6 separate regions of the Mus musculus genome follow, and regions 2, 3, 4, 5 and 6 are each reported to be linked to region 1. Evidence: microRNA targets listed by miRTarBase, many of them from high-throughput screens and not tested one by one. Region 1 holds a microRNA gene; each other region holds the end of a gene's coding sequence.

What was found. The annotated mature microRNA mmu-miR-3085-3p reads UCUGGCUGCUAUGGCCCCCUC and lies in region 1 at 1,348-1,368, opposite strand. An mRNA with a match to its seed (bases 2 to 7 or 8) in the 3' UTR can be bound and repressed. Matches are read on the target gene's strand: a 7mer-m8 pairs with bases 2 to 8, a 7mer-A1 pairs with bases 2 to 7 and ends in A, and an 8mer does both.
Region 2: miRTarBase lists Pkd2 as a target of mmu-miR-3085-3p. Seed matches in the 3' UTR shown: 7mer-m8 at 1,571-1,577 and 7mer-A1 at 2,304-2,310.
Region 3: the mRNA of Sass6 is a reported target of mmu-miR-3085-3p. Seed matches in the 3' UTR shown: 7mer-m8 at 3,829-3,835.
Region 4: the mRNA of Mprip is a reported target of mmu-miR-3085-3p. Seed matches in the 3' UTR shown: 7mer-m8 at 2,935-2,941.
Region 5: miRTarBase lists Dlgap5 as a target of mmu-miR-3085-3p. Seed matches in the 3' UTR shown: 7mer-m8 at 661-667.
Region 6: the mRNA of Mylip is a reported target of mmu-miR-3085-3p. Seed matches in the 3' UTR shown: 7mer-A1 at 1,699-1,705.

What each region holds. Positions count from the first base shown.
Region 1 is chr19:42,278,748-42,283,836 of GRCm38, forward strand. It overlaps Mir3085 (microRNA 3085), which reads right to left and starts at 1,423; the gene lies at 1,335-1,423. It overlaps Crtac1 (cartilage acidic protein 1), which reads right to left. Exons shown (of 15, transcript NM_145123.5): 15 at 4,288-4,933. The coding sequence ends at 4,815. Gm34347 (a long non-coding RNA gene) reads left to right here. Exons shown (of 3, transcript XR_386718.4): 1 at 1-1,176.
Region 2 is chr5:104,502,856-104,507,944 of GRCm38, forward strand. It overlaps Pkd2 (polycystin 2, transient receptor potential cation channel), which reads left to right. Exons shown (of 15, transcript NM_008861.3): 15 at 597-2,964. The coding sequence ends at 833. Among named protein-coding and RNA genes, the nearest start is that of Thoc2l, 3.0 kb to the right of the region's middle.
Region 3 is chr3:116,628,386-116,633,474 of GRCm38, reverse strand. Sass6 (SAS-6 centriolar assembly protein) reads right to left here. Exons shown (of 17, transcript NM_028349.3): 16 at 4,863-4,957; 17 at 2,489-4,767. The coding sequence ends at 4,661. It overlaps Mfsd14a (major facilitator superfamily domain containing 14A), which reads left to right. Exons shown (of 12, transcript NM_008246.2): 12 at 995-2,311. The coding sequence ends at 1,201. Among named protein-coding and RNA genes, the nearest start is that of Trmt13, 16 kb to the right of the region's middle.
Region 4 is chr11:59,775,173-59,780,172 of GRCm38, forward strand. It overlaps Mprip (myosin phosphatase Rho interacting protein), which reads left to right. Exons shown (of 24, transcript NM_001368931.1): 24 at 344-5,000. The coding sequence ends at 415. Among named protein-coding and RNA genes, the nearest start is that of Gm51899, 8.4 kb to the left of the region's middle.
Region 5 is chr14:47,383,427-47,388,515 of GRCm38, reverse strand. It overlaps Dlgap5 (DLG associated protein 5), which reads left to right. Exons shown (of 19, transcript NM_144553.2): 19 at 393-737. The coding sequence ends at 500. Lgals3 (lectin, galactose binding, soluble 3) reads right to left here. Exons shown (of 6, transcript NM_010705.3): 5 at 3,749-3,914; 6 at 2,349-2,991. The coding sequence ends at 2,836. Among named protein-coding and RNA genes, the nearest start is that of Lgals3, 12 kb to the right of the region's middle.
Region 6 is chr13:45,409,672-45,414,760 of GRCm38, forward strand. Mylip (myosin regulatory light chain interacting protein) reads left to right here. Exons shown (of 7, transcript NM_153789.3): 7 at 750-2,269. The coding sequence ends at 839. Among named protein-coding and RNA genes, the nearest start is that of Mylip, 22 kb to the left of the region's middle.

The DNA.
Region 1 (5,089 bases):
TTCTCACTTACCTGCAGCATCCCAGGGCAGACAGTGCACACCTCTGGTTGTTCCAGGCACAACTGTTGAGGAGCATGGGAGCTTTGACATCAAATAGAACCTGGCTCCATCATCAATTGTGGTATTTATTAATAATGAGATCTCTGATTTATAGGAGGTGCACTCCATGCCAGACACTGTGGCAAGTTTAATACAATAACTGTGAGGTATCCGTTACTGCTAAAACTCAAGTTTAATAAATGTAAGCTTCATACTCATTTTAGAGACGAGAAACTGAGATTCAAGTATATTTTACCTACTTTAAATCTTAAATACTTTAAATCTTAAATATCTTTTTTTTTTCCTCTAGGGGCTGAGCACTCTGGCCCACCCTACCTAAAGTAACAGTTTGCCTCTACCCAGGTGCTCACAAACTCCCTTAATGTCTCCCCTCTTCCCCCACTCAGGATTTTCTAACACACAAGACTTTTACCGTCATGTTTATACGAGCATGCCTTGCCAAATGTCAACATGGAAGAGATGTTGCCAGTGTTGTTCACCGATAAATATCCAAAGCCACTAGAATAATGTGCAGCACATAGTGGTCTGTATTTGATTATCAGTGACCAGTTGGTTACATAACTCCCTCAGGTGCAAATTACCTGGAAACTGAAAGCACACAGCTTAGGAACCCAAGCTGCAGAGTAGACAGTTTGGGGTCTAAATTACATCGTCAGCCACTTCAGTGAACTCTGACCCTGTGTAGCTTGTTCTTCCCAAGCCTCAGTTTCCTTGGTAATAGAGTAGACCAGTAACATTTGCCTTTCAGGATGGAGTAAGGATTAATGCAGACATCTATGCAGTTTTTGGCATATAGTGGGCATTCCGTAAATGTTAACTTCTCCCCGAGGATGCTCTTGTGTCTTCTTGCTTCTCATTTCTCCTCTGATGGTCTACCCTCTGACTGAACCACTGTTCCACAGTGCTGTGTAAGAGGGCAGAGCTGCTGAGGGCAGAGGACAGTGGGATTATCTGTCCTGTTAACTAGCCCTAGCTGCCTGCCTCCTTCTTCCTCCTTCCAGGATGTTCCTGTTGCCAAGGAAACACAACCTCAGCCCTTGGCAGGTTTCTGACTCCCTGTGGCTTGGCTACTGAGCTTACAAAAGGAATGAGACAGCGGTGACCATGGGCAGAGAGGTAAGGGGAGGGATTTGACTGTCCTCCTGAAGTTGGAGTCTGGAATCTCTGGAACCCTGAGATGATGAAATGATGAAATGTTCTCTGTCTCCATGTTCCTCTAACAGAGGCTGTGTTGGAGTTCTTGCTTGGTCCAGCCTTCTTGGTAGGGATGTGATGCCCAAGCCCTGGGAGGGGGCCATAGCAGCCAGAGTGACTCATATTCAGACTCTTGGCCCTCGGAATGGCACCTTCCCAGAGTTGGGACTGTTGGTGATGGAGGTGACCTGGAGAAAGTGACCAGGCTGGCCTGGTGAGGGCGCTCTCCATGTGGGTGTGGCCTGCTCTTCCTGCAGGCTTTGGTGTGACTCTGGTAGGATTGCTTCAATTCTCAGCTCTCTGGGAACTCTGTTTCTCCCTTCCCACTTAGCCCTTGACTTGGAGAAGGATGAGAGACTGTGGCTTCTGCCCAAACCAGTTGGCTACCTGAATGAAGTGGGTAGGCACGGCAGGGCAGGTAAGCATGCTAGTGGGAGACAGCCAGACTGTCTGGGACGCCACCCCACCTTTGCTTATCCCAGCTGTGTGATCCCGAGGAACCACTTAACCCACCCCTATAATTATAGCCTCTTCCTCTAGGGATTGCTGCAGGGATTAAGCGAGTTGGTTCTTGTAAAGAGTTTATGTCCAACCTAGACACGCTGAGCTCACTCACTGAAAGCCATTATTGTCATTCTGAGGGGGAACATTCCTGGAGGAGACTGCATCAGACAGAGTAAAAGCGATATTATTGTTGTAGTTATTATTACTATTAAAATTGTTAAAGATCGTTTTGAGGGGGTATTCTTGAAAAATGGAACGAAGGATGGGAAGGATCCCACTTCTGCCTTGGCTAGAGTTGATCATGTGTTATTCACCTGCCCTGAAGGTGGCTTTTCCATTTTTTTTTTTTTTTTTTACTTTTTACAACTTGGAGCATAACCTAAAAAAAAGATGTCAGGGACCTAAGTGGGTCTATGGGACAGAAGAAAGATGGGTGTGTGTGCTCCAAAGTGGACAACGAGGGCTCAGAGGCCATGAGCCTCAGGATGAGGAAGTGGAGGAGTTAAGGGGATGGGGACAGTGGCCTCCTAAGCCTTGCTGAAGCTTGCACCCACTCACCCGTGGCTGATAACGCTCAGGAAGTGAAATGAAGGTCTGGAGCCAGGGGCACCCAGCTCCAATATCTGGATGCCTGGTGAGTGGCGGGCAGGTGATGTTGGGTTGGTTCAGAGTCTGCCCATCTTCCATAAAGTTTAACCTGGTATTTTTTTCCTCCAATATAAGCTTCTTGGGTGTAGGAGACTTAACCTTCTCACTGAGGGGAGCTGGTTACCTTCTTCATGAGAAACCCACGAGGTCCTTAATCAACACTTGCTGAATGGACACACGGATAAATGAATGCATAGTGTTTGCTTCTCAGGCGCAGTAACCTGAGAACCTAGCTAGACTTTTAAGAAAGCCCCTTATAGTCCCCTCCCACACTATACTTGGCTTTTTCCATCCAGCTGGAGGGAAGGTGGTGTGCGTGTGGGGTATCAAACATGTTATCTTTACTCACTGTTACAAACCTAGAGCCCTACCCAGGCCCTGTTGCAGAACAGGGGCTCAGCCAATAGCTGTTGAATGAATGAACGCCACGGAAAGCCTTCTTACCCTGAGTTTGCTCTCAGCAGTTAGGGAGCCTTGAACTTCTTTCTTTGACTCCCCTGACATTCCCACCAGATAGGATGAAATGGCACTGCCAGACCCCGTGGCCTGAAACTCAACCGGGGGTGGGGGGGGGGGAGGGATCAGGCATCCTCTGGAGTTGGCCGTCACACTTGGTGTCCTTGGCAGGCTGTCTCGCTGGTTTTTATTTTTATTTTTTCCTACTCCCATTTCTCATGCTGACATGTGTGGCCAGTCAATGGAGCTCGCTATCTTGTCATTTCCTACTGCTCTGCGCTGCATTTGCGACCAGTCCCCGTGGGCTCTGGGTCTTCCTTGTCTTACTATCTCAGATCCACTTGTTCAGGTCTGAAAAGGCAAGGGCTTCCGGGGTGAACGGGGAAAGGTCTGAGCAGCAAGTGTACAGCCGCTCACCCTTAACATGATGGCAGGAAGAGCTGCATGCCTGGTGTGGGGGGCCAGCTGGCTCTGTGACCTTGGGCAGGGTGACCTCCACCACTTCATCTCTCTGAGTCTCATGTCTGGGGCCCTTGCAGATCTTTAATTCCCTGTCGATGGGTAGGGACGGTGCTGGTGGAATTGGAACGATTTTTAAGTTGTTATGTGCTTCCCAGGGAAATTGTAGCTGTTTTCATTTTAAAACTTTTCATTTAGGCTCTGGTTCTGAGTGTAAACACAGCGCTAGCTACAAGGAATTCATATTTGGTGATTTATTGGGAATATTATTATGGTATCAGGAAAGGGTAGTTTTTTGTTAAATATGTTTTTAAAAGGCTTGCTGCATTCTTAAGCATGATTTTATTATATCTTCAAGCGACTTTTTTCCCCCATGAAGAATATATCTGTGATTTATAATGGGCCTTCACTAGCAGAGCTGGTCATGAGCATATTCTGTGGTGTTACATCATCCCCAAAGAGTACTCTGGCTACGGGCACTCCCAGGCTCCCAAGCATATTGCAGAGGCTGAGTTGCTAAGTTCTTTCTAGAAACCAGCACTGCTGGAGACTCACCATACCTATGTCCAGTCACGCAGCGGGGAGTTGGGGAGAACAGGGGGTGTATGGATGTACTGACCCAACTCTCTTGTCATTTACGGAAAGGCAATGGGGTTCCAGAACGGAGACGTTAATTCCTGGAAGGATACTGCACTGATACAGCACTGCCTCCGTGCCTGCCCCTCACCCACTCCACGTGCCTTGTCTGGTCCTCCGAGTATTTCCTTCACCCAGCCGCACGGCTGGGGCCCGAGGACGGCACTTCCCTTACGCCATGACTTGTTTCCTTGTACCCCCTGGTGGAAGGGTCACAGCTAATTCAACACTCCAACCAGCATGTACTTGCTCAGACACCCCCTCCCCCATGGCTAATATCCAGCAGAGTCTACTGGCATCATTTCTCCAGAAAAGAGGCTGGAAGACTTAGCAAGTTCAAACTTAAGCATTTTTTTTTTATCAACAGTCCCAAAGGGCCACCCTTTCCCTTTCCGTCGCCACCACCAATCCAATAAGGCTTCCGTAATCATAGGAAATCAGGTTGTACAAAGCAGCAGCAGCAGCACAGGCCGGATCAGCAGGCACAGGATACATTACTGAATCAACCGAGCCAGCAACCACCCAGGAGCCATCTTTGTCAAGGGCAAAACAAGAAGAAGCTCACGAAGATACAGAAATGACTGGACTCTCTTGGTTCTTCTCACGGAAGGAGGGGTGGGGTAGAGGAGATAGTTTTCCTTTTTCTGTTTTCTCAGAAAACATGCAAAGAAAGGCTTCACCAACAACTAAGGTCCCATCAGTATCTCCCAAACTTCCCTTTTCAAAGATGGCCACCCCTGCTGTCCGTTCGAAGGAGCACATGGCGGGATCTATGGGGTGTGGAGAGAGGTAGGCAGCAGGAGAGATATAGTTTTCCACAAAGGTTGTTAGATTTTTTTTTCCTTTATTGATGGGATTTAAAGTGCATATAACTGAAGGCAAAGTCCCAGGCCTAGAGAAAGATACGAGGCCTGAGAGAGAGGCTCAGAGAGTCTAAAGGCAGCCGATGAGTACCCACCTAAAAAGGCCACTTGAGCTGCAAAAAAACAAACAAAAGCGCAGGGAGGTAAAAAAAAATGGGGAGAGACAAAGGGTTGGTTGGGAGGAAGGATTTTGGGAGGAAGGATAAGACAAACACTAATTCAGAAATTATCTGCCAAAGGTGACTTGGAGGAGCTATTTGCATCCCAGC
Region 2 (5,089 bases), not on the chromosome of region 1:
TCATCTAGGTACATCCAAAAAACATGGTCAGTTCTTAGATCAAAGACAAAGTAATCAAGCGAAGTAGTAAACAAGGAGATCACACAAGACAGTAATCTAGCAGAGTAGTAAGCAAAAGGATCACACAAGGGAATAATTAAGACAAGTAGAGAGCAGAGAGATCACACAAGGGGCAAAGCAGTAAACAAAGCCCCATGGCCATGGTTTTTAACATTCTTATCTGAGCCTACTTCCTTGTTCAAGCCCAGTGACAAATGCCAAATTCCTAGAAGCGACACCAAAAACTCTCAACACATCACATTTTGTAACTCTTAATCCCGTGCTTTTCTTCCTCCATATATAGCCTTAGATCAAATAGTAATCAGCAGGCATGAGGTTCCCCTTCCTCTGAGAGCGCTGCCATCCGGGTAGAAGATACCGCTGAGTGAACAGTCATCCCACTGGCTCAGAATTGTTATCGTTTACTGTTCCCATCTGCAGTCTTGAGTTACTATAGCTCATTTCACCTAAAATTTCTAACCCCTTCTCCGTGTAGAATATATAACGTACTGCACACACTGCCCTGGTTTCCATTGTTTCTCTAAATCCCTTGTCAGGATGCGCGACTGGGTCGGGACAGTGAGATCCACAGGGAGCAGATGGAGCGCCTGGTGCGGGAAGAGCTGGAGCGCTGGGAATCGGATGATGCAGCTTCGCAAACAGGTCATGGTGTAAGCACACAAGTGGGACTCGGTGGCCAGCCCCACCCCAGAAACCCGCGCCCTCCTTCCTCCCAGTCTGCAGAGGGCCTGGAAGGTGGAGGTGGAAATGGAAGTGCCAACGTCCATGCCTAATAATCCACACGTGTTTGTGTGTTCCTGAGACACCGAGAGGTGGCTGTCCAGTACGACAATGATAAGTTCGGTATTTATATACCCCGGCTGCATTATGATGCTGGTCTTTGTGACCAATTGTTATAATTTTCTGCACTTTAATTTATTTTACGTAAACTTAAACCCGTGGTTCAAGGAAGGTTTGTCTTACTTTTCTCATGTGAGAAATCTAGGTGTAAATATTGAGTTCAGAAAGAAGAAAACTTTGAAAGTACGCTGATTTGCTGCCCTGCCCGTGTCTTCAGGTGACAGTGTTTGGAAGTTAGAGAGCCTTCACTAGTCTCTGAGTTCGTGTGGAGCCACCACAGTCTGCTGCATTAGTCCAGTGCGAGATGCTAAGGAAAAACATGACATTTCATTCCACTGAGGTATAACTCGGAGCTTACTGCATATCTTTCTTCTAAGGAAGGAGTAGTATTTCAGCAACCTTTCTGGGGTGCAGAGAAAGGATATGTATGTAGCCACTGTGCTAAAATGTGTGTGAACAGTTGAGATAGATGCTAAGCGCCATACCAGTTTGTGGCACTAAGCATATCATTTAATTTTTGTGTTATTTAGCTTTTGTTTCAGATTTGGCAAGGAAAGCTCAAAAGATAAATTATAAGATAAAGTGTAGGATTGGAGCCGGGCAGTGGTGGTGAACGCCTTTAATCCCAACACTTGGGAGGCAGAGGCAGGTGGATTTCTGAGTTCGAGGCCAGCCAGGGCTACACAGAGAAACCCTGTTTCGAAAACCCAAAAAAATAGGTAGGATTGGAAGGGGCCTTCAATTCTTACTACATTTGACTTTTCAATTATTTGTTAGCATAGAAATTTCTCTATTTTTCTTTCCTATGTGTCTCATTTATAACCAAATTTAATATTAAAAAAACTAATAAGACAAACACTGAATATTTTCACTGTGTAGTGAAAGTTTTAACTCATCAAATATGTACATGGGAAGCAGTATTTTAAGAAAGTTTTGAGGTGCATAAAAGCTCTGTAAAAGTAGAGGTCTGGTTTACGTTGTATCTTGAATATTCTTAATATCTAGAATATTCTTAGTCATATATCAGGATGGAGTCATATAATGCAAATTTAGTTCATTTTTATGTGAGGGGCCTTGGGTATTGTAGGTTTATATATTTGCAGAAGAGATCCACTAAAAGTTGACTATCAGCAGTAAGAGAGGGTCTCACAAAATTTATAGGAGAAATCTATATCTCAATATCATTTTGGTTTTTGTGTCTGTCAAAGACAGGTTTTCACTATATACTCCTGGCCGGCCTGGAACTAACTGTGTAAACTAGGCTGCCCTCAGACTCCCAGAGATCCACTGGCTCTCAGCCTCTTGAGTGCTGGGATTAGGGCCAGTGTGACCACAGCAGTTGTTGAATAACTTGGCCCTTTGAGAGCTAGGGGTCAGAAGAAACAAAGCCAAGCTGGTAGAGAAGCCAGAGGTAGAGAACAAGTAGAAGAGAATCCTGGGCTTAGTACCGTATTTGAAATTCACAAGAATTCATTGACTTCCTAGAATATACCAAACCTCTCCAACCTCTAACAGACTGCTGAGTAGACAGGCCTTTTCTCGTCAGCTTCCACAGAAGCGAGGCACGCCATGTTTCCCTGATTCTGATGGCTGCACATCAATCATTTTCTTTTGAATATGCTACACTAATTTTTTTTCCTTCCTAGGTATTGGATTTTGCATTGCAGGGGTATTATTGTATGTATGTATTTATGTATGCGTACTGTACTGTTACAAAGTGAACAAACTTCAACTTGAAGTGCATTAATTATGTGGTATCCATGTGTATCGACCATGTGCCGTATGCCTATTATGGTCACTAGAACATCTTTTATGATGCTTATTATTACAGTGTTTCTCATTTAACTTGTAAACTTTTGTAGAATTCTCCTTTTTTTCCCTTTAGATATAAGTTCATATATTTTTCTACTTTAGTCCTGTGAAGTTTATCCCTAGTCACCTTCCTGGTAGTCTCCCCTCTGTTAAGGGTATAGTTAAGATTTCACATATACAAGGTTCTTTGGACATCAACAATTTCTTAACTGTAATAATGTGTACATTACTTAATAAAGACTTGACATAGTACCATGGTGTTAAAAACACGTTTGTTTCCATAAAAAAGAGGGGGGGTTGCCTTTTATCATAGCATAAACCCTGGGAAAGCACCTTATTTTCTGTGTCATGGAATGATACAAGTAACACATTTATACATTTTTACACTAAATGTAAACTTTTAGACTCCCAGTCTACCTGTCATGCATGGTGGGTACTTCCCCCCCTTCCCCCGCCGCTACCCCCACTACTCACAGAAGTATAACCTAGGACAAAGACTCCAGGACAGCGTGAATCAATTGCCTGTATAGTGGAGTACCAAATAGCCTTTATCTTAGTTACAATTGCTGTTCTAGCATAAACAGGACCCAGGCAACTTATAGAGAAAGAGTTTATTGGTCCTTACAGTGGGTGAGCCTGAAAGATCCTGACAGAATGTAAAAGGTCACAGAAGCCCTGAAATTGGCAAGATAGATTTCACTGTTAGCAGAACTAGCTTCACTGATTTAGAAAAATAGAGGTGCACAATGCTCTGGCCACTCCTTGAACCCGTGTGTCTGCCAATGTTTTGACCGTTCCTTGAACCCAGGTGTGTGCCCACTGCTGCACCTCACTGCCAGGTGTTTGTGATATTGGTTGCTGAGAAAGAGTCGGAAAATCTTCCCAGCAACCACAGCCGGGCCAATCCTGAGTTGCTACACCTGCACCAGACTCTTTCCTTGTACCCCTCCCATACCCATTTCTTGAGAATAGACATTGTTTAGTTCTGGAAACCCCCTACTCCTCCCTTCTCCTTTCCCCCCTGAGGGCCTATAAAAACTGGCCTTTCCCCTCGTGGTCGAATCCTCTACCCCTGCGTGGGATATGAGTCGTCCCCAGAGCTCTGGCTTTCCCCGAATAAAGCCTCATGTGGTTTACATCAAGCCTGGTCTCTCATGAGTTCTTGGGTGTCCGCTATTGTCCCGACGCCTGAGCGAGGGGCTCCTCACGGAGTCTTTCAAACCCACAACCATCATGGTGAGGTGTATGACATCAAGCAGGTAAACATGGCGGTGAGGCAGTAGCCCAGAGCTTACATCTAGATAATAAACATGATGCAGAGAGCTAACTGGTAGTGGTGTGTGCTTTTGACACCTCAGAGATCACCCCAGTGACATATCTTATCCAATAAGGTAACAACTCCTAATCCTTCCCAAATAGTTCTACCAGTTGGGGACCATATATAAGAAACCATGCATGCTCAATATTGCTCAAAAAGCTAAAAGTAAATCTACCATGACTCAGATCCACTCCTCTGCATATGCCCAAAGGACATCCTCCTACAGATGCTTGCTTAGCAGTGTCCATTGCTGCTCTGTTCACCATAGCTAGCGAGGGGGAACCACCTAAATGCCCTTCGAGTGATGGACGGGCAATGCAAATGTGGCACAGATACACCACAGGATAAAGGAAAATGACATCATGATGTTTGCAGGTAAGTGCAGCTCTTGCCAAGATGCAGGCATTAAATAGTTGCTGGGGAAAGAAAAATGAACAATCTCCCACCCACATTCATTATTTTCATATTGGGCAAAGACATCTAAATAGAAATAATTGCTTGGAAAGTGACCAAGCCACTTATACAGTATCTACTGTTATATGCAAGGCAATGTAGTGGATCCTGATCATGGTAAAAATTTTTTTTAATGTGCATCTCTATCTGTCTACAGCTTACTATTGAATCAAAAAAACCTTATTAAGTCATGTGTTTGAGATACATATATGCATATTTGCACATCTCATTTGATTTTATGTATTTCTGTTGCTTTGTAACATAATGGTCAGATATATACTCCTGAACAATTTATTGATTTTATACATACACGACATAATAACCAGATAACAACAGAAATGACAATTTTCGGAGATGGGGTCAAAATATGAGTTCAATTCTTAATGTATTTAAAACCTGATGCCTTTTTAAATTAAAAAGAATTTTAATCTAAAAATAAAGAAGTTTAACTTTCACCCCTCATCAAAGCTTCTTTTCATACTGGATAGAGAGCATGACAGACACCCACAAGTAGCAATGTCCCAGTTCTCCCAGTACAATGTGCAATAACTATAAAATATTTCCAAGTTTCTGTATAATGCATACATACATCCTTCTGATAAAAAG
Region 3 (5,089 bases), not on the chromosome of region 1:
GGGTATCTGAAGATAGCTACAGTACTTACATATAATAATGAATAAATCTTAAAAAAAAAAATAACTAAAGCCTAAGAGACTATTCTTCCCGAGTATCATCTTGCAAAAACTAAAATGAAAAAATCACCTGAAACCACATTTTGTCAATTTGTGCCTAATGGCATGGCAGCCACATCTCCATTCCACCCTGCTACTTTCTTTCCTTCTGACTTCTGGAGTGCTGGGCAGCTGCCATCTATGGCCACATGGAATGTACGCACGGTGGACATTTGTTGACTTGCTTGCTTTATTTCCCAACTGAAATTACCAACCCCAAACCACATGGACCACTGAGCCAATACTAACATCTCTGCAGTTTTCTCGATTAAGCAAGAATTGAACCCCAGGCAAGCCTATTTAATTTTGTGGGCCATATACAACAGAAACAGGGTTTCTGTAGGGTTTTGCCCACAATGAATATGATTTGGGCTAAAATGTTTTATTTTTGTGGTTAGTGGCATTGTATTTATTTTTGAAACACGATTCTACAGGTGTATTATTAACATGTGTAGTTTAGGCTCTGTGCTAAAAGCCACCCACAGTTATCCAAGTTACTTTGCCAGTTTTTGATTTTTGTTTTTAAAGGTTTGAGTACACATTGTTGTCCTCAGACACACCAGAAGAGGGCATCAGATCCCATTACAGATGGTTGTTAGCCACCATGTGGTTGCCTGTAATTGAACTCAGGACCTCTGGAAGAGCAGTCAGCGCTCTTAACCACTGAACTATCTTTCCAGCCCACTTTGCCATTTTTTTGTTGGCAGGATTTTACAATAAGAATAAAAATACCTTTTCTCCTGAAAAGTGATTTTATAGCTATTGCTTCAATAAAGGCATTGACTTTAAAAAAAAAAAAAGAAAATCTGAGCAGACAGTTGCTGAGACATTGGAGGCTGGGGACGGGGGCTGGGGGGAGTATTTGTGCAAAAAACATTAACTATTGTTTCTTCCTCAGAATTCCATCATCCCTGGTCCCCCTTTCCTCTTTGGAGCCTGTTCGGTACTGCTGGCTCTGCTCGTTGCCTTGTTTATTCCGGAACACACTAATTTAAGTTTAAGGTCCAGCAGTTGGAGGAAGCACTGTGGCAGTCACAGCCATCCTCACAGTACACAAGCGCCAGGAGAGGCCAAAGAACCTTTACTCCAGGACACGAATGTGTGACGGAAATCAGGAAGACTTCTCTCTCTCGCAGCACCCAGGTCTTAGTTTTCACCTGTAGCTCTGGATGTACATTCCATTTCCATCTGCAGTGTACTTTAAGACTGTCTTAAGAAATACTTGCATGAACTCCGTGGGAACTAAAGAAAGAACCGGACAGTTTTCCAAAGATGTTACACTTTCTTTCAAAAAGAAACCTTTTGTTTATATTAGCACCACTCTCTTGCCACTAAACTGTTTTATTACACATCTTTAATTAAAGCTCTATCTGTAACTCCGTCTCTGCCATTTCCTTAGGTGTTGAGCCTTTACCTGCTCGTGCTGACTCAGCGACACTAGGCAGGATGGTTATGGACCTGTTTGCTTTAACCTTGTAAAACCTGAGTCATTGTAAAATCTTGGGTCAAATAATTCAAAGCCTTAATGCAGATGCACTAGAAAAGAAATGGTAAAGAATTGTTTGCATTTAAAAGAACTTGTGAAAATTGTAGAAAACCAGAATCATGTTTCAAGCTTGTTTGCCATAATTTTATTTAAAGCATTATTCACGGCTGTTCTGAAGAATGAAAAGATCAGCCACTTAGAATTCAAATTGGGGTGGTCAGAGCCTAGCCATCTGGCTCAATCTGTTTAAATCTGTTCTGCTTCTTATACCACTATTCTTTTGATATTTGCATAATCATAAGGACCTCAACACTTGAATACATAATCTAAAAATTATATAGTAAAGCTGGTAGCCTTGAAAATGTCAATGTGATATCTATATGTAGATAAATATATATAGTGGCCTTTCAGGACTGTCACAGTAACACTTTATTTACAGAGCTAATGTTTGTCCTAAATTTTCAGGACCCTAGAAGAGAGCTTTATACAATTACTGATGTGAATTTCTCTAAAGTGTATATTTTTGTGTCCAGTTATATTATTTAAAAAAGTGTTACTTTGTAAAAATGTACATAAAGTATTGTATAGTTTACACTGTTTTCATCTTGTGTGTGGTTACTGCCTAATGCTTTTTAAACTTGGAGCATTCACTATGATTAAATAAGGTCTCAAATGTAAATATTCTGTTAATAAAATTAAATATTTTAATGATTTTTTTCTTTTTAAAAAGGTCTTGATCTGTGAGTCCCTCCCTGTAAGGCCGGTTTAGGCTTTGTTACAGTAACAAATCCTCTTACCTTAACTTACCTTCTGCAATCCATTTGCTGCCCTCACCTCACCTCACCAAAAACAAAACAAAAAGCCTGAAGATAAAAATAACGAAGTGTGTAGGTCAACCGGAAATGCTTGATTTCCTAAGCACAGTTAGTCTTTTATTTCCTAAACATGCTTCTTGCATATAAAACGCTCAAGCCTCAGTGCTTTATTGACAAAGGTCACAGCTTTCAGAAATAGCAAAAAGCAACATTCTGATGGTTAACACATGTACAGTTATACAACACAAAACAATTTCAGACAAAAGCAGAAGAGGTAGAGCAGAGAGTTGGCGCTATCTGTGTGTGTGGACACTTAGCACAGAGACAGGTCACCAACACCCTGCGTGGAAATGAGCTGTCCTATCGTGGAAACAGGTTTATAAATAGTAAGGGGAGGGTATCTCTTCTAAAAAGCTATATATGTCTTGTATCCCTTTCCAAAGGCTGCCATAGCTCTTAGGTTTATTCTATAGTATTTACAACAGTCCTGTGCTGCATAGAGAGACTTCTTTCCAGAATAAGTGCTTTCAAGTAGTTATAGCAATATTCTTCCCATCACTGAACTGTGATAACAGCCCTCGTTGAAGACAGCTAGCAATAGCCATCATCCTGAAAGTGAGGCTAAAGATTCTACGTCACTGTCTCAAAATGTCTGCAACAGTGTAAAGTACTTGAAAAAAAATGTGTATAAATGTTTTGCCTAGAAACCACATGCATGCCTGATGCACTCTGGGTGACAAAATTGTGAGCTGTCATGTGGGTGCTGGGATTAGAACCCACATCCTCTGAAAAGAGTAGCTAGTGCCGATCATCACTAAGCCATCTCTTCAGCCCCTTGAAACTTAAAATATCACATGATTGTTAACATTTTACAGATAAGATTTTTGGGGTCTTGGAATTTTAATTTCCTTTGGGTGGTTGTCAACAAGAAAACAAAATTAGACCTCTAAGATTATAGAGGGTTGTTTTTGGTTTTTTGTTTCATTTTGTTTTTTAAAACTACTTAATTTCAAAGGAATAGTTCTTGGAAGTTTTTAATAGTGAGGAAGTTGTAATTTCCAATAGTTAACTCTCCTCCTGCTTTATTAACACTGATGACAAATTTTAATATTATAAAAAGTCCCATGAACTTTTATGGTGTTATTACACTGATGATCTTTATGGAATGCCCAGATGACTAAAGCACTTCAGTCATGTAAATACACTGTCCCAATGATTTTTATATAAAAATTATTTCAGAGAAAATGATTTACTCACTATGAATACTTAATTTCACTCAAAATCCTTAAGAGTGTCACTAGGTACATCAACCAAACTCCAAATGCCCATACCCAGGACTTGACTAGCACAAGGTCGAATACACTGTTTTGGGTTTGATTTTTTTTTTGGGGGGGGGGAAGGGGGTTCGAGACAGGGTCTCTCTGTACAGCCCTGGCTGTCCTGGAACTCACTCTGTAGACCAGGCTGGCCTCCAACTCAGAAATCCGCCTGCCTCTGCCTCCCGAGTGCTGGGATTAAAGGCGTGCGCCACCACTGCCCGGCTGGTTTGATATTTTTATCTTACTGATTGGTTATTTTTATTTTCTTTTTTAAGGGAGAAAGAACATAAAATTGGGTGGGTAGGAAACTGGAGACCATCTGGGAGGAGAAATTATAAACCAAATATATTGTGTAACTCAGGCTTGGTGGGTACACAGCTTTAGTCCTAGGTCTTGGGACACAGAGGCAGGTGGATCTGGGTTTGAGGCCAGCCTGGTCTACATACATAGCCAGTTCCAGGACAGCTTGAACTACATAATAATAGACCCTGTCTCAAAAAAAAAAAAAAAAAAAAAACTTTGAAAGTTGTATGAGAACTGAATGTAAAGTCAATGTAAGGCTCAATGGTCACAGGTGGAAGCTCTCCCAGCTCTCAGGTGGCAGATTAAGATTTTTTTTTTTTTACAATAAAAATGATCGAATGAATCACAAGTCTTCAGTTTATATTCCCTGCAGGTGTATCTTGATAAAGTGTCCCTAAGCAGACCAACTGGTAAGAATCTGATACAATCCAGTGACTTTTTGAAACATTCTGTTTTGTTCACAGAAAAAAAAATACCATTTACTCAGCATCCTTATCAATTTCCTAAATTTGTAAATGGCAGCAGTATTATAAAGGATCCAAATGACCTAACAGGAACCAGAAAAAAATTGATTTTGTTATCAATAGTCTGTTAAATCACTTGAATTCCTAAACTGTCGGTGAGCAGTAAAAGGTGTTGGATTAACTACTTGGTAACTGCCCAGGGAAGTAGGCTGAAGACGAGGAGGGGAGAACGGTGGGTTTGGAAGATAGCTGGAACGCTCCCAGCATGCCGTCTTTCTGATGGTCTGCAAGAGACAAAGCACGTAGCATGTCACTGCTTTAAGCACATGTAATGATCCACACTGTACCACTCCACTCACTCAGTCACAGGTCTCCTCACCTGAGTCACTCAACAGATTCTGGCTAAGTCCGCGTAAAGGAATGCTAGCTTCTCTTCTCTTCAAGTATTTGGATTCCAATCCTAAAGTTTCACCACTTAAAAAAAATAATTTTCGTCTTAATTTTCACTTTATTGTTCATTTTCTCTGTTGAGTGTTCCTAGTTGACAAGAAATCAAAATGTTCTAAAATACCTTAGTACAACATTTTTTGACCACCTAAGTGATCA
Region 4 (5,000 bases), not on the chromosome of region 1:
GGAATGAGACATGCACATTCCATATATAGGAAGAATGATAGGTGCCCAGGTTTCCAGTCCTCCACCCAAGTGTTTCGTGGTTTTGTCTGAAGAACCAACCCTAAGCTAGAACTGAGCTATGACACATGGTCTTGTTTCTCTTTATTATTTTCCCCTTTCTCACCCAAGTACATTTTTACAGGAAAAAGCAAATCCCAGTCACACTACTTCTCCAGGGATTCTCTCAGGGCTTCTGCCCTCGCATGCCCACTAATCTCAGGATCCCTCGCCTGCACCTGCTACTGAAGCCCACTACGCCTGCTGCACCAACACCTAACTGCTCCTTCCTCTCTGTCTCCACCAGAGTCTGAAGGAAGGCCTGACGGTGCAGGAGCGCTTGAAGCTCTTTGAATCCAGGGACTTGAAGAAAGATTAGCTGCATCCATTCCACTGACACATCCTTCCCAGCTGGTGGCAGCACAAGCCAAGCGTGGTTTTCATCTTCACCTGTGCATCTCATTGTTGCTGTCATTAACTGTGGGGATGGATGCATGAGAGACTGCTGTGGGGTGCTTGCTCCAGTCCCTCCCTGTCAATTCCAACTTCCTGTTGTCTTTATCACAGCTTTTTTCCCATGGTATTCTCAGATTAGTCACGCGCAAGCAGTAGAGTGGGACGGTTTCCCCGCTGATACCTGAGCAGCCCCCTTGTCCTCCCAGCACACTCACTGTCAGTATTAAGGCACAGCAGCCTGTTAATAAGCTAGCCCTGCCTCAGAGTGCACATGTGGGGACCTGCCAGTGGCTCTGCTCTGCCGCACACAGCGGAGCACCACCCTTGATGGTCAGAGCAGAGCCACCGAATGTTGTAGGCTGGCCTGATTTCTGAGGGGCCTAGGAAAGTGTCCAGCCTGGCCCACTTCCTTTTGATGTGGGAGGGGGACAGCATTTTGTACCTGGCCACTGATGCAGCTTAGAACCATACCCAGATAATCCGGCAAATCCTTCACAACCTGGAAAATGTTGAAAGCAACCATTCCTATTTTGGTTTTTTATTAAATCTTGCACAAAAGCCCCGGCCCCTCTCATTCCTTCCTCCGCTCGTGCCTCCCTTGCTGTGCTAATCCTGGTCTTCTGGTGGCCCGGAAGAGTGACTTGCAGCCTGAAGCTTCAGACTTGTCAAGTGTGATGGGTCCTCAAAGTCCTCTGGAGGGGAACATTGCTGGGGTTTAATCTGTCTGAAAAGAAGCTGCCATGCTGCTTGGCAGGGTGAGGAGAAGCCCGTGTGCAAAGACAGACTGTCAGGACTGGTGATAGCAGCAGTGTGTGCTCAGGACCCTCGTTAGTCTGGGCTCTGGAAGGGTCCCTTGAATTGTCTGCTTCTCATGGAGCCATTGACAGGGAGCCTGTGCTAACTCTGCTTTTCTAGCTGAACAGGACCTGAAACTACCCAAAGCAGTCTGCAGCATTTTCTTTAAAAAACAAACCAACAAAAACATTTTTCTCTATTCTCATAAGAAAACATTCATACTGTAAGATGCAGCACACAGGAGTCCCCATGTCAGATGGGAGAGGCAATAGCCTCATAGCTAGATATGCGATCTGGCTTCTTAGTCCTGGCTTGTTAGTGTTAAGTGGGTCAGATGGATGGTCTCTGAGCGTACAAATTCAACTCATGAGTCCCCTAAAGGTTCTACATGAGTTGACGTACAAGGTCTAGCTGGCCTAATAGACAGGCAGGTCGAAACTTCAAGATAACGGATTTGTTACATACCAAAGTGTGCCACTGACCAGCAGGCAAGCCCTGGGCTCCCCTTTTCACACGTTTTTAAGTTCCACTCTGGCACATGCTCAGTGGTCATTTATGTTTTCAGCATTATGGGCAAGTCAGACCTGTTAAAACAAGCTTTGAGCTCAGAGTGGGCTAGCCTTCAGGAGCCTGGGGTTGTGCGTTGAGGACTCCTGTTCTCTCATACGGTTTCCTTGCAGCTATCCTGCTGCCCTTGGGACCCTCTGGCCCCATTGCATTATCTTCCTGCCTTGTGCTTCCTGGGATGCTACAAAGAGCCTGCGGAAGATGCCAAGCCTACCATTCAAAAGGACACTTGATCTTTTGCTCTTCACCTCAGAATCCTAGGATATGAACTTTGCTGAAGGTACAAGTACCTACATGTCAGAGGCAAGGGCTGGGAGACAGGCACGCTGCACCCATCTAATCTGTCACTCAGGGCTCCTACTGCAGGCTCGTTTTTGCTGTGATAGAGCACACACTGCTCTAGGGCTTGTTTCACGTGTGGGTATCTGGTATGTTGGCCAAATGCTGAACTGGCAGACATTCCTGGATCATCCCCCACTGTCTACGCCAGTCTGAGCAGTAACATGTGCAGGATCAGGGTGCATCTTGATTTTCTTGATGGTGACTTCTGGCAAAAATGAACCAAACAAGAAGTTGGTCTTCCTGAGTCCCTGAACTGCCGGCCCACTGCAGCAGTTTATTTTAGACTGCCACATGTCTTCTGTCCATTCCCTTCCCTCACTCCCTGAGCCAGGTTCACTTTTGCCTGACCCCTCTACAGGCTTCCCATTCCCTGGAAAGAAGTTGAAGTTGGTGTGTTCAGAGAAGAGGTATGGAATGTGCAAATGGAGTTGGTTCAGGCATATGTAAAAGAGGATGCTTGGCTGAGAATGGGTAGTGTAGATCAAGAAGTCACAGGCTGCTCCCAGTACAGTCAGTCAGTGGCATGCTTTCTTTTACACATTTGTGGTCTACCAGCATCTACAAGCAAACTACCATTACAGGGAACATACCATTTGACAGTGAATGTAAATATATGCTTAAATTACATCTTGCAAGCCTGGCATGGTGGTGCACGCCTTTAATCCCAGCACTCGGGAGGCAGAGGCAGGCAGATTTCTGAGTTCGAGGCCAGCCTGGTCTACAAAGTTAGTTCCAGGACAGCCAGGGCTATACAGAGAAACCCTGTCTCAAAAAAAAAAAACAAAAACAAAAACAAAAAAAAACAAAAAAAAAAAACTTCATCTTTGCACGTGTGATGCCGAGCACATCTGCCACACAGGGCTACTGGCTGCACCTTTTCCAGTATGGTTGTGGCCACAATGCCACAATAATAGGAGGCCAGAGCCCCATGAAGTAGGGAGTCCCCAGAGGGAAGAACGCTAGGAATGTGTGCATTCACTGAGTGTAAACAAAGGTCAGAGTTGGCAAACTCCATTGGATCTAGCAGAACACTGAACTGGGCGCACTCACTCATGTCTGTACTCCTACCACCTGACGCTCCAAAGTACAAGGTCAGTCTGGGCTACATAGCAAGACTATCTCACATACAGGTGGGCTAAGGGCATGGATATAAAATATATAAAATTTGGGGTTCAACTACAGCACTACAGAGAGCACACTTGTGGTCTTTGGAACATTTGTCCAAAGGGAGCCTGAGAGATTTGACTAGGAAACAAATGGGTATGAAAGATATTTGAAGGAATGTGTACTACTGTTAACCTCTCTACAGGGGGAGATGGTGCGCTGACTTCTTTCTACCCTGGAACTGCAGAGAAAGCACCGCCTCACTGCTGCCACCTAGCTGGCGCCGAGGGAAGTAGCTGGCTAGCACACAGCCTGCACTGTTGGGTGTGAACCAGGGCATCAGCTTAGTTAGATTCCTGCAGGCCTGCCCCACACACCTGACCTCCAACTAAGCCTGGCTCTCAAAGACAGGCTGGATAAGCACCCAGAGGCCCTATGCAGCCTTCCCACTCATGCCATACTCCATGTAAGTAAGCCAGTGCAAGCTGCACACCAAAGTCTGCTGGCAGCTACAGGGACAACAGTAACACCCAAACCCCAGACTCTGCTAGTGGAGAGTCAGTAGTTACCTCTTGGCCAGCGGAGGGTTAGCTGTTCATGCTATGCTGTAAAGATGACATCACCTAGTAAGCTACTTAGAGGCTATCAGTGTAGGGACTCATACAGCCTTTCTCATTAGAGCTCCCAGCATACATACAGGACAGCCTATGGCCTGCACTTCACTTGCTCAGCCTTTCCTGTATATCAGAGCAAGCAATATTAAGTATTTCTAAGGCATGGTGCAGGAACTTTTGTGCAAAGTTTGTGTGAGTTTTAAAATACCCCTTTTGAAGGTATGTAAAGGCAGTGTTCAGTGCAAACCCCTCTCAAATGTCAAGACCATTAGTTGGCGAGGCATGGTAGCACACACATTTAATTAGCACTTGGGAGGCAGAGAAGCAGGCTAAGTTCAAGACCAACCTGGTCTACATAGAGAGTTCTAAAAGATTTACACAGTAAAAACTGCCTAAAAATTAAACAACAAAAAAGACTATGTTAATAAGTAATGCCTTTTAAAGTTTTGGTTACTCAACAGACTCTGAAGATATCCTTGCCCACACTCACAGCAAGCTCTGATTCTTGTTTAAAGTATTCTGTGAGACTTGCATAGAGCCACTCAAGGAAAACCAGTACTATGAGGGACTCTTGGCACCTTGCCCTCAGGTTTCTCGGGGTGTTTTTCTTAGGGGAACTGGCTGGAGCATACGCTGCTTCAGGTCCAGGAGCCTAGCTCTAACAGCGGGGCTGGACTTGAGTGCAGAGCAGCCCAGCTACCCATATCTCTAGCGACCTCACTGTATATAGCATGAGACTCCAGGTAGCTCCATGACTGTATTTCTGTACTGGTAAGGAGGTAGCCCATCAGTAGAGTTAAAAGTGGGACAGTCCAAAACTAAAGGACTTCAGGGCCTCTCCAGTTTCGCATGGGTCACAGGTCAGCCTGGAGCAGCTTCCATTGTGGGGCAGGACCTCATTGCTGGCATTTGCCATAAAGAGATACCACTGTTAAGAATCCTAGCCACACAAGCCCACTCCAGCTTGCCACAGCTGACATGCCATTGGCTCATCTCTCCTTTACAAGGTAGTCAGACCACACATCTAATTTTATTTGAGCAAGCTATAGATTGTAAAGAACACTAAATTCACTATTATGTTTTGTT
Region 5 (5,089 bases), not on the chromosome of region 1:
TGTTGCTTCTGCTGCAGCCAGGACGTGGTGGGCGGGGTCTGTCCCCATCGCCATCCTCCTTGGTGGTCTTCACCCTGAAATTCTTTACTCCAGCTGTGCTCTGCTGCGGGTCTTCACTGGGGGCTCAGGAGGTGAGACAGGATTTGTGTGTGTAGCTTTGGGTGTCCTATAACTCACTCTGTAGACCAGGCTGGCAGCTTGAGATCCGCCTGCTATGGTGGTGCACATAAAAAACAAAAATCCTTTACATTAGGTCTTACGCTGTTAATAATTTCATTGTTACATAGGGAAAGTTACTTACTCCTTGGCACTCAGTTAACTAAGGGTGTAAAAAGCTTATTTGGGGCCACACTCGATGGTGGATTCCTTGACTGCTCTGCTGTGTTCTTTAGCCAGGCCTCAGCTGCACCAGCCCCTGCACTCGGGAGGAGACCAGACAGCCAGATCGCAGCAGACAGTTCTCCTTTGGAGGTGACCTCATTCTCTTCTCACCACTATGACCCTGAAGGGAACACCAGGAGGGCTTTAAATTTAACATGACTTTTAATATTAATTTAAATAAACATTCAGTGCTCGCCTTTAATCCCAGCACTCCGGGAGGTAGAGGCAGGCGGATTTCTGAGTTCGAGGCCAGCCTGGTCTACAGAGTGAGTTCCAGGACAGCCAGGACTATACAGAGAAACCCTGTCTCGAAAAACCAAAATAAATAAATAAATAAATAAACAAACAAACAAACATTCTTTTCTTCGCATTGTTAATTCTCTGATAAAGTGAGATAGTTTTGCATCTGCCGGCTCATTTTATAGATTTTCATTTGAGCACCTGTATCTGTTGACATCAGGATAGTTTGGTTTTCCTGTATTCCTTTAGATAAGGTTTCCTGAATCATGAAGTGCACTGATTATAGTTACACTGTTCAATCCTTGCTGCCTCTGGTAATTTCCCCTTTAACAGAGCTAGCTGCCATGGACAAGGATGAAAGAGAGAAGAATCTTTACAAAAAAATCTGGAATTTCAGGATGCTGTGAGCTATTTCACATGGGCGCTGGAAAGCCAGTCCTCTGGAAGAGCAGTGTGTGCACTTGGCTGAGTCGCTACTCCAGCTCTGATTTTATAATCCCTTAGCGTCATGACCGTAAAACACTGCTGATACGGGAAGGAGATGGCTCAGAGAAAGGCACTGTCCTCTGACACCACCTTCATGTTGTGGCATATTTCAGCCCTTCCCCTCCCCCCACGCACATACATACATACATACATACATCATACATTCATACATACAGTAGAACATAAGTGACAACTCAGTGCTACCAACAGCAAACAGTAGCAAAAGCTAACAGCCCTACCCTGTGTTCCCCGTGTTTCCTGTGTTATAATTTGGCCTGAGTGCTTTGGAAGGAGACATTCCACACAGAATAGGAACCTTACAGGTTTAGGGTTAGACATTTTCAAGAGAAAGTTTAGTCTACTTTTGACGTCAGAAGTAGGTGTGTTTGGCTTTGGGGAAAGATGGTGCTTATCATGACACCCAAACAACTTACTGGAAGGTTACTTGAGGAGTTTGCATAGAGGAATGTTCATAAAATGCCCCCCCTTACCAAAACCTGAGGCGGCATGGAACAGCTTGCTAATGGATGACGGAAAGTTATGGGTGGAGAAATTGCCTGGTGGGTAAGGACACCAAACCTGAGAGCAATGCCCGGAACCTACATTCTGGAAGGAGAGACCCAGCTCTCTGTACATTCTTGTCCCATCAGTTGCAATTGCAAGTGCTTGTTCTTACAGACCTCTTGATTTCTGTTTTCCTGGGACGCCAGCTTGTGACATTCACCAGTTTAAACTAATCGAGAAGATAACGTTGTAGAACAAGACTTTTGACCTTTTCCTACTTTGAGCTTACTGATAATAGGAAAGATAGAAAGTGTTAGGTATGAGAATGGACATGAAAACCAAGACACAGTCTTAATGGTGTTGAGTACTCATTTGAAGGCAATAACCTGGGGCTTTACAGGAAAAATGGGTTTAAGACCAGCCTCCACAACAGATAGTTCAGGACTATATACCTGATTGTCCCATAATTGCAGTGATGCTGGTGTGAGCGACCTGCTCCCAGTCGTATAGAGCAGAGTCTGCATGGTACAGAATAATGCTGGAAGACAGTGTGCAGGGTCAGCACTGGCAGCAGCCTCACGTCGTTCTTTCCTGTTCCTGATTGGCCCTTATCTAGGGTTGTGTAAGTGCACCCTTTGATCTTTCCTTGGAATCGCCGAGCAGCGCTAAGCAACACAACTCTCCCCAGATGCCGACGGTAACTGTCTGCTGTTGAGCTGGCGCCATTCAGCGTATTTCCTTTGTAAAAATCAGGATGGTTTATTGATAATTACATAGTTCCCTTTATATAAAACTGCACCAAATCAAAGGGCATATAAAGACAGGCAGCTGGAGGCATCAGTGGACCTGACCTGTCTCAGGAGGATCTGAGACTGGTTCCCAGCAACCTGGTCACACAGCTTACTTACAACCACCTGTAACTCCAGCTCCAGGAGGCCTGGTGCCTCTCAAGTGAGCAGGCACCTGTACCCATGTGCACAGACACACAACACACAAAGTTTAAAAGGCTAGGGATGTGTAGCTCAGTGAGAGAACACTTGCCTAGCAGTCACGAGCAGTCCTAAGATTTGACATCCAGTATCATAAAAACCCCCAAAGCGATGGGTATCTCTCAGCATGAGACTTTATTAAATGGATGTCTTACAAGAAGGATAAGGAGAGAGAAATGCAAAGTTTCCCACTCCTAAGGCACACAGGGCCGGTTTCGGTGCCGCCCCTTCTGGCTTAGATCATGGCGTGGTTAGCGCTGGTGAGGGTTATGTCACCACTGATCCCCAGTTGGCTGATTTCCCGGAGGTTCTTCATCCGATGGTTGTACTGCAGTAGGTGAGCATCGTTGACCGCAACCTTGAAGTGGTCAGCTTCAACCAGGACTTGTATCTAGGAACCAAACATGGGAAACCGTCAAAAGCATATAATAACCAGTACAATTTAGGCATTCCACCATGTGTGTTTCCCAGGACATACTGTCTGCCGTGTTTTGTTTTCATCTGCCATTTTTATGTAAAGGAAATATATATTGATTCCTAAACCAGTGTATCCTTAGTTCAGGAAGTTTCATTTTTACTTTTACTTCTGGAATGAAAATGACCCAGAGCAGTAGCTGGATAGCAAAAATGAATCTACATTGTCCGATCTAAAACACAATAAAAAGATATCAAAGTTATCAGAAGCACTCAGGAGGCAGATCTCTGAGTACCTGGACAACCAGGGCTACAGAAAGAAACCCTATTTTCTCAACAAAAACCAACCCAAAAGCTTAATGGGTCCATAATACCAAAAGTTAAAAACAGCAACATAGGAAGGAATCCCTTAATGACAAATTTATAGCCAGTTTTGGGAAGGCTGGGAAATACTTTTTCCCGTAGTTAATGAACATTCATCCTTAAATCCTGTAAGTGGACTTTTGTGATAGAGACCAGCGATGCGCTATTGGAAGATTGTTTGGAGAGGTGCCCGTGGCAATGGGGAGGCTCCTGAAGGAGCTGAAGGACACGCTGCTCCTGCCTCAGCCCTAGCCTGTTGAGGCTGGTTGCTGGGGTGGGGAGGAAGATTGGCCAGGTGCCTAGGACAGGTTTTTCCGTGATTCCCCTTGGTAAGAGAACGCTGTGCGCATACAGCCAAAGCCCCAACTTACTTTGAATGGTTTGCCACTCTCAAAGGGGAAGGCTGACTGTCTTTCTTCCTTTCCCCAGTTATTGTCCTGCTTCGTGTTACACACAATGACTCTCCTGTTGTTCTCATTGAAGCGGGGGTTAAAGTGGAAGGCAACATCATTCCCTCTCCTGAAATCTAGAACAATCCTGTTTTAAACCAGAAATAGAAGATAATTAAAGTGTGTATCAAGTCAAGAACATTTAACTTTCTAAAATGCAAACCCTTTCATAACATGTTGGAACTGTTTTTTTTTTTTTTTTTTCGGTTCTGGAGGCAAATAAGCCACAGTATCAGATCCAACTCAAAAGAACGGGCACATCCTCTCATTTGTTAGTGTGATCACCTCGAAAGTCAAGTCCAGCGGGACGAATCTGCCTTGTCTGGTCATTGAGACAGGATCTCACTATGGAGCCCAGGCTGGCCTCCAGCTTGTGACTCTCACCTACCTTGGCCTCCCCAGGGCTGTGATTTTAAGTGTGTGTCACTAATATCCATCAAAAGCAAGCCAGCTACCTAAGAACTATCGAGTACCTGACTTTGCCATGGTTAACCGGAAATCTCAGAACAGCAGGGTACACGGATGTAGCTAATGTTTCCTTCCTGGTTGCTACGTGGTAAAGTCAGGACACGAGGTGCGACTGGCTAAAGTGCCCCGTGAACTTTCTGACCCTTTTTGTTCTTGTGTGTTAATGCAAACTCAAGTCTGTTGTTAAGGGACTGGCCCTACTGGGTGTCTTAAGGTGAGCTCCCTACAGTAACACTAGAAGCTGATGTCTGTGATCTAGACCCAACAGTGATTCTTTGGGTATTCTGAATAACTCAGGAGCAGTTGGGGAATGTGACCGTAGTGATTGGGTCCACTGGTTCTAGTTCTCCCGTGGACAGAGATTGTCATCTCTGTCACACAAGCACTTTTTCCCCATGAATTTGTTAGGGTGTTTGTGGGTTCACACAGTTCTTTTTCTGTTTACTATTTGACCCAGAATCAGTTTTGAGTTGTCAGTACATGTAGTCTACATGTCAGTATTGTAGGCTACATTACTAGTGTTACTGGAACTAAATTATCTAGTGCAATAACCCTCAATTGTTAATGTTAACTCTATAGTCTGCGCTATGTTGGAACAGGTTATATAAATATATATTTTGAGAAGAACATACACATATAACCCTCATACATATGAGAGTATTTACTGTGAGACAAGTTATACCATGTGATGGGACACCAAACTTAGAGCATCTCTCTAAGCCATGTGGAAAGAAGAGTGGCTTGGGACAGTGCTTCCCACGCAGAACCAGAGGAGGGAGGTTGGCTGGAGGAATG
Region 6 (5,089 bases), not on the chromosome of region 1:
GGGTGTGTGCCAAAAAGCCACTAGAAGCTTGTTGCCCCTGGCCACAAGGGCATCTGCCCACTGATAATGACCCCAAGATAGTTGAACTAAGGTCTCTCTACAGACATACCTCCACCATGGTGGCCAGAGGTACAGGGACCTCTTCCTGTATGCATGGCTCCAGCCTGGACAAAAGGAAGACTGATGCTAACAGAAGGGCTAGGGAGGTGGCTGGACCAATAAACTCTCTGTGTTGCAGGGCACAGGGATCTGAGTTCAGTCCCTAGAGCCTTCTAGTTAAAAAGCTGTGTGTGTGGGGGGGTCAGGGTTGAAACAGCTGCAGGGATTTTTAATCCTAGTGTTAGCAAAGGAGGTAGAGGAAAGGCAGGAACGACAGGGCTCGAATACCAGCCAGACCAGCTTAACCAGTGTTCTCCATCTGAGAGACCCTGTGTCCAGAAACAGGTTGAGGTCTTTGAGAACTGACACACGAGGATGACCATTGGTCACACATACACACATGCACACATGCACACGCACACACGCACGCACACACAGTTTGACAGAAAATAGTTTTCTTCAGTGGATGTCTTTTCCTAACATTCGTTGTTAATCTGTATAAAGTATAAATATTCAAGCCTGTTCCAGAGCACTTGAAAGCTTAGAACTGGATCACAGTGGCGTCGTATCTAGAAAACTGACTGTCGGGGCACCAAGGCTGAACTCCCAGGTCCCACAAATGTCCTAACCAGTGGTGGCTTCTTTTGCAGTCCTGTCCGGTCTGCAGATCCCGTGTGGAGCATGTCCAGCACGTCTACCTGCCCACCCACACCAGTCTCCTCAATCTGACTGTCATCTGATGCGTCCTGCACTCGATGGACAAGCCATGTCCCCACAAGCTGCAGTATTGTAAACTATAAGAATAATAACTTTGTGAAGAGCTATTTCACTCTCAACACCCATCTGCCATGAGACATTTTCAGAAACAAGGAGGAAAAGAAAACAAGAATGTGACCACACCTCTTCCGTGAGGAGAAGCAACAGGCCCCATGGCCACCAGGAAGAACTCTGGGACACGGACACATTCCTTGAACTTTAGGGTTGGTTTTTTTTTTTAATGATCAAGTAAAGGAGTAGATAGAATCGTCTTCGTCAGTCAAGTGGCAACATGGCCCAACCGTGGGCACCTTTTAGGAAATGACGTCATATGTCTCCTTCACTTTTTCCCCGGGCAGCAGATTTTGTAAGTGTTTTAAGGATTTCCTTGGTTCTTTTTGTATGGTCATGGAGCGCTGAATATTTTTAATAGGGATTTTTTTTCTTAAAGAAATAGTCCTCATTATAAAAGTCATTTCTGTCTTTATAACTCATTCAAGAACAACTGGAAAAGCTGGCAGATTGAAAAAAAAAAAGCAATCCTGTGACTTCCCAAGGGTTGACAGCAATGTTGTCAGATTGGAAGCAGTCTGGCTGAGAGCCAATAGGTAACTCACCGTGGGTGACTTCCTTCCTAGAGCCCTTCCGTTTCCCCTCATTCCACACCCCATGCCTTTCACTGATAAAAATGCTACCAGTTTGGTTAAGAGACATACATGGTAGAGTCAAGCACTCCCTGGGCTTTGGAGATTGGAAAGCGAGAGTAGCTTCCTTGAAGGAAAAAGATGAGAGAGAGAGAGAGAGAGAGAGAGAGAGAGAGAGAGAGAGAGAGAGAGAGAGATGAGCCAGAGAGCCACTCAGTATGCCCGAGTGGTTCTTCACTTTCCCAAGCACTCACTCCAGCTGCACCCATGGGTGTCGCCTTGCTTGAAGATCAAACTTTCTACAGCCTTATAGGTTTCTAGATAGTGTCTCCTTTTTGTGTATGTCTTGTTTCTCGTTGTTCGAGTTTTCCTATGTCAGTGCTTCCATACTCATTGTCCTGCCCCCTCGGTGTCTTCCAGAGGTAGGGCTACTTCTTTATGTTTCCATATTCTAAGTTTTCACCCCCACTTGGGCATTTTGGAAGCTAGTGAGCTAGGGGGTTTTCTAGGGTGTCAGGAAACCTAGCTGACCTCATCGGGTGCAATACTAGCTAAGTTAAAGCTAGAAGCCTACACTGTCACTTTACTGAGATTTCTGAGTCTACGTTTCATATTGCCTTAATGTAGCAGTAATGTGTTTATGCATTTGTTTCTTTGCACAGACATTTTGTCAGATATTAAAACTCTACTTTTTTATGGCACATATTAGCATATAAGCCTTTATTCCAAGAGGTATTTATTTTTTCACTTGTAAAAAAAATAATGTTTCCACATTTAAAAAAAAAAAAACTCTGTTATATCCTAGAGGACTTCTGTCTTTTATATTCAGGATAATAAAGACTTTAAAGCAAACTGGGCCTTTGTGATCTTATGGTTATTGTCACGTAGGCCATTTTGCCATTGAGTGAGCACTTCACCTCAAGGTTGGGACATTTAAGGTGTTAAGGTGGCTTCACTGAGAGGATCTGCCCAGGTCTTCTATCATCTGTTTTTGGACATACAAGGTTTGAAGGTAGGTGAACAAGATTCTGTGACACACATGGTGTATGCAAAGGATAGCTTGGGGAGGAGGGAAGCAAAGTGGCTCACCCAGTAAAAGATTTTGCTACATAAGTGTGATGGCCTGAGTCATCATGGAACCCACATGAAGAGGAGAGGAAAGATCCAACTCAGCAAAGTTGGCTTATGACGGTCACACATGGGGCTCGCAAGGCTCAGTCACAGCAGAAACATACTGTGGTGTCCGGGACTGCCTTCCTACAGTACTACTGCATGCTTCTGCTGGGCTGTGCTGGTGTGTGCACATCTATGCTGAAAATGCTTTGTATGGTAGAGTATTTTAAACTATCTGTAACTGATACCTTTACAATTGGGAGACAGACCCCAACACAGCCTCCCATTGGTTTCTAGGAGTCAGCTCATTTATTCAACATATTTATTAGACAACAACTCAATGGTTAATGAGCCCCAGAACTTTCAAAGAAAAACAGTCAAAGACACAATTTATCACATACCCAGAGCAGCAGCAGAGTATTGGGTGTCTTTGGGATTTACAGTGTCTGTGTAGTGCCTGTGACACGCATGGGTGCTTCCGTATGGAAGTTCAGTGATGTTCAGGTTTGTGTACATGACTGTCTCAGAATGATAACCAGGATGAATGGGTGGGTGAGTGACAGGTCAACAAATAACATTGCTTGTACTCCATGGGCCAGGGACTTAAGCTTAGCAACCAGCATGAAAACCCATGTATTACTTGGCTTTCTAGAAGCATAAGGGACGACACACTGCTGAGCATAGGAGATACTGACTACCTCTGCTTAGGGTCCAGGGTAAACATGCTTCAGTAGGACCTTTGAGCAAGACTTGTATTCTGTAGATGGGGGAAAAGCCGTATGGCCCCTGTCAAGGCTACAATGCAGCCAGCCAGTGGGTCTTGCCCAGGCTCACATATCAATGCACTGATAAGAAATTAGGCTCTGAAGGAATATGTGGCATGGGGAAACAGTGAGGGGAACCTTCAATTCCAGGTTTGACTTTGGTACTCTCTACTGCCTTCAGAGGCAGGAACTGGCAAGACAGGAAAGCTTGTACAACAACTAACACATGAGACAGAGGAGAGCAGAGAGACAACTCAGTTTTGATTATGTCTTGACATGAAGAAAACAAGGAAAGTGGGCCAGAGAGATGGCTCAGTAGGCAAAGACTGACAAAGTGGAAGATGGATGGAGAGATGGCTCAGCCGTTAAGAGCCCTGGCTGCTCTTGCAGAGGACCTTGGTCAGATTCCCTGTACCCACATGGTGGTTTACAACCAATTGGATCCCCCATTTCCAGGGGATCTGATGCCCTCTTCTGGCCTCTACATGCACCAGACATGCATGTGAGACACAGACATACATGCAGGCAAAATAGTCATACACATACTTTTTTTTTAAGGTGGATGGAGAGAAATCAGTAAAGTTGTCCTCTGACCTCCACATGCTCCCCGTGGCATGTACACACACAGACATACCATGCGTGCACACAATGATCAAAGAATAAGATTTTTTTAAAAAGGGTAAGACAAATGAAAAGACTTGATGAGGCGTGTCATAAAGATTGAAAACAACTGAAAGGAGAATCCATAGGGGGAAGGGGTTAGTGACTTGTTGCTATGACCAGATACCTGTGTCAAGAAGCAACCTGGGAAAAGAAGGATTTATTTGGACACACACTCTAAGAGGAGATGCATCTACTCCATCAAGGAGAGGGAAACATGGTAGCAGGCACATGAGGTTGCTGGTCGTGCTGAGCCTGCCAGCAGAGAGCAGACATTGGACAGGAAGTGGGCTAGGCTATGAAACCTCAGAGACCCACTCTTTTTAGCAGGACTTTTCTCCCTTAAGATTTCACAGTCCTTCAAGCCAGCCCCACCGGCCGAGGACGAAGTGTTCAGATATATGAACCTAAGGGAACTTTTTACATCCAAACCACAGTAGGAGGGATCCTCAGGAACAGAAAGGAATTTGCTTTGTTTGGATCCTGGAAAGCTAACAGAGGCCCTACTTAGAATCACCTGGAACTGGTTAGAAGCCAGAGTCAGACTTCCGGGGTCGGGACTTCCGGGGTTGGGACTTCCCGGGTTGAGAAAGAAAGAAGCCCTTTGTGTTAAAGATGTGAAAGTGACCAAAGAAGCAGCTGGTACCCCCAGAGGAGGCGGGGCTAAAACGTGCTCTTGGAAGTTGTTTTGTTAAAAAGCAAACATTTGTTTTTGGTTTTTCCCCTTGGGCCTTCAAGATAACTAAAAAATGAAAGCCGAGCACCTCTGCCTTCTTTTGGTCCCTGTCTCCAGGCTAAAGAGACAGAGACAGAAATCAATGTCCTTAATCTGACCTCCAGAAGTCATCTTGGATTCCCAGCACAGCAGAAGACCACCAGACAGAGAGGCCACGCCCAAAGATGAGAATAATTACCCATGAAAGTCAGGCTGTACCCTAGAATGATCGTGTGGGGGCCATTTGATGCCTTTAAGTCATGACAGCCATAAGGAAGGACTTCTTCAAAACCCTTCACTAGAATAAGACAGAGACCAACTGATTGGATGTTTGATTA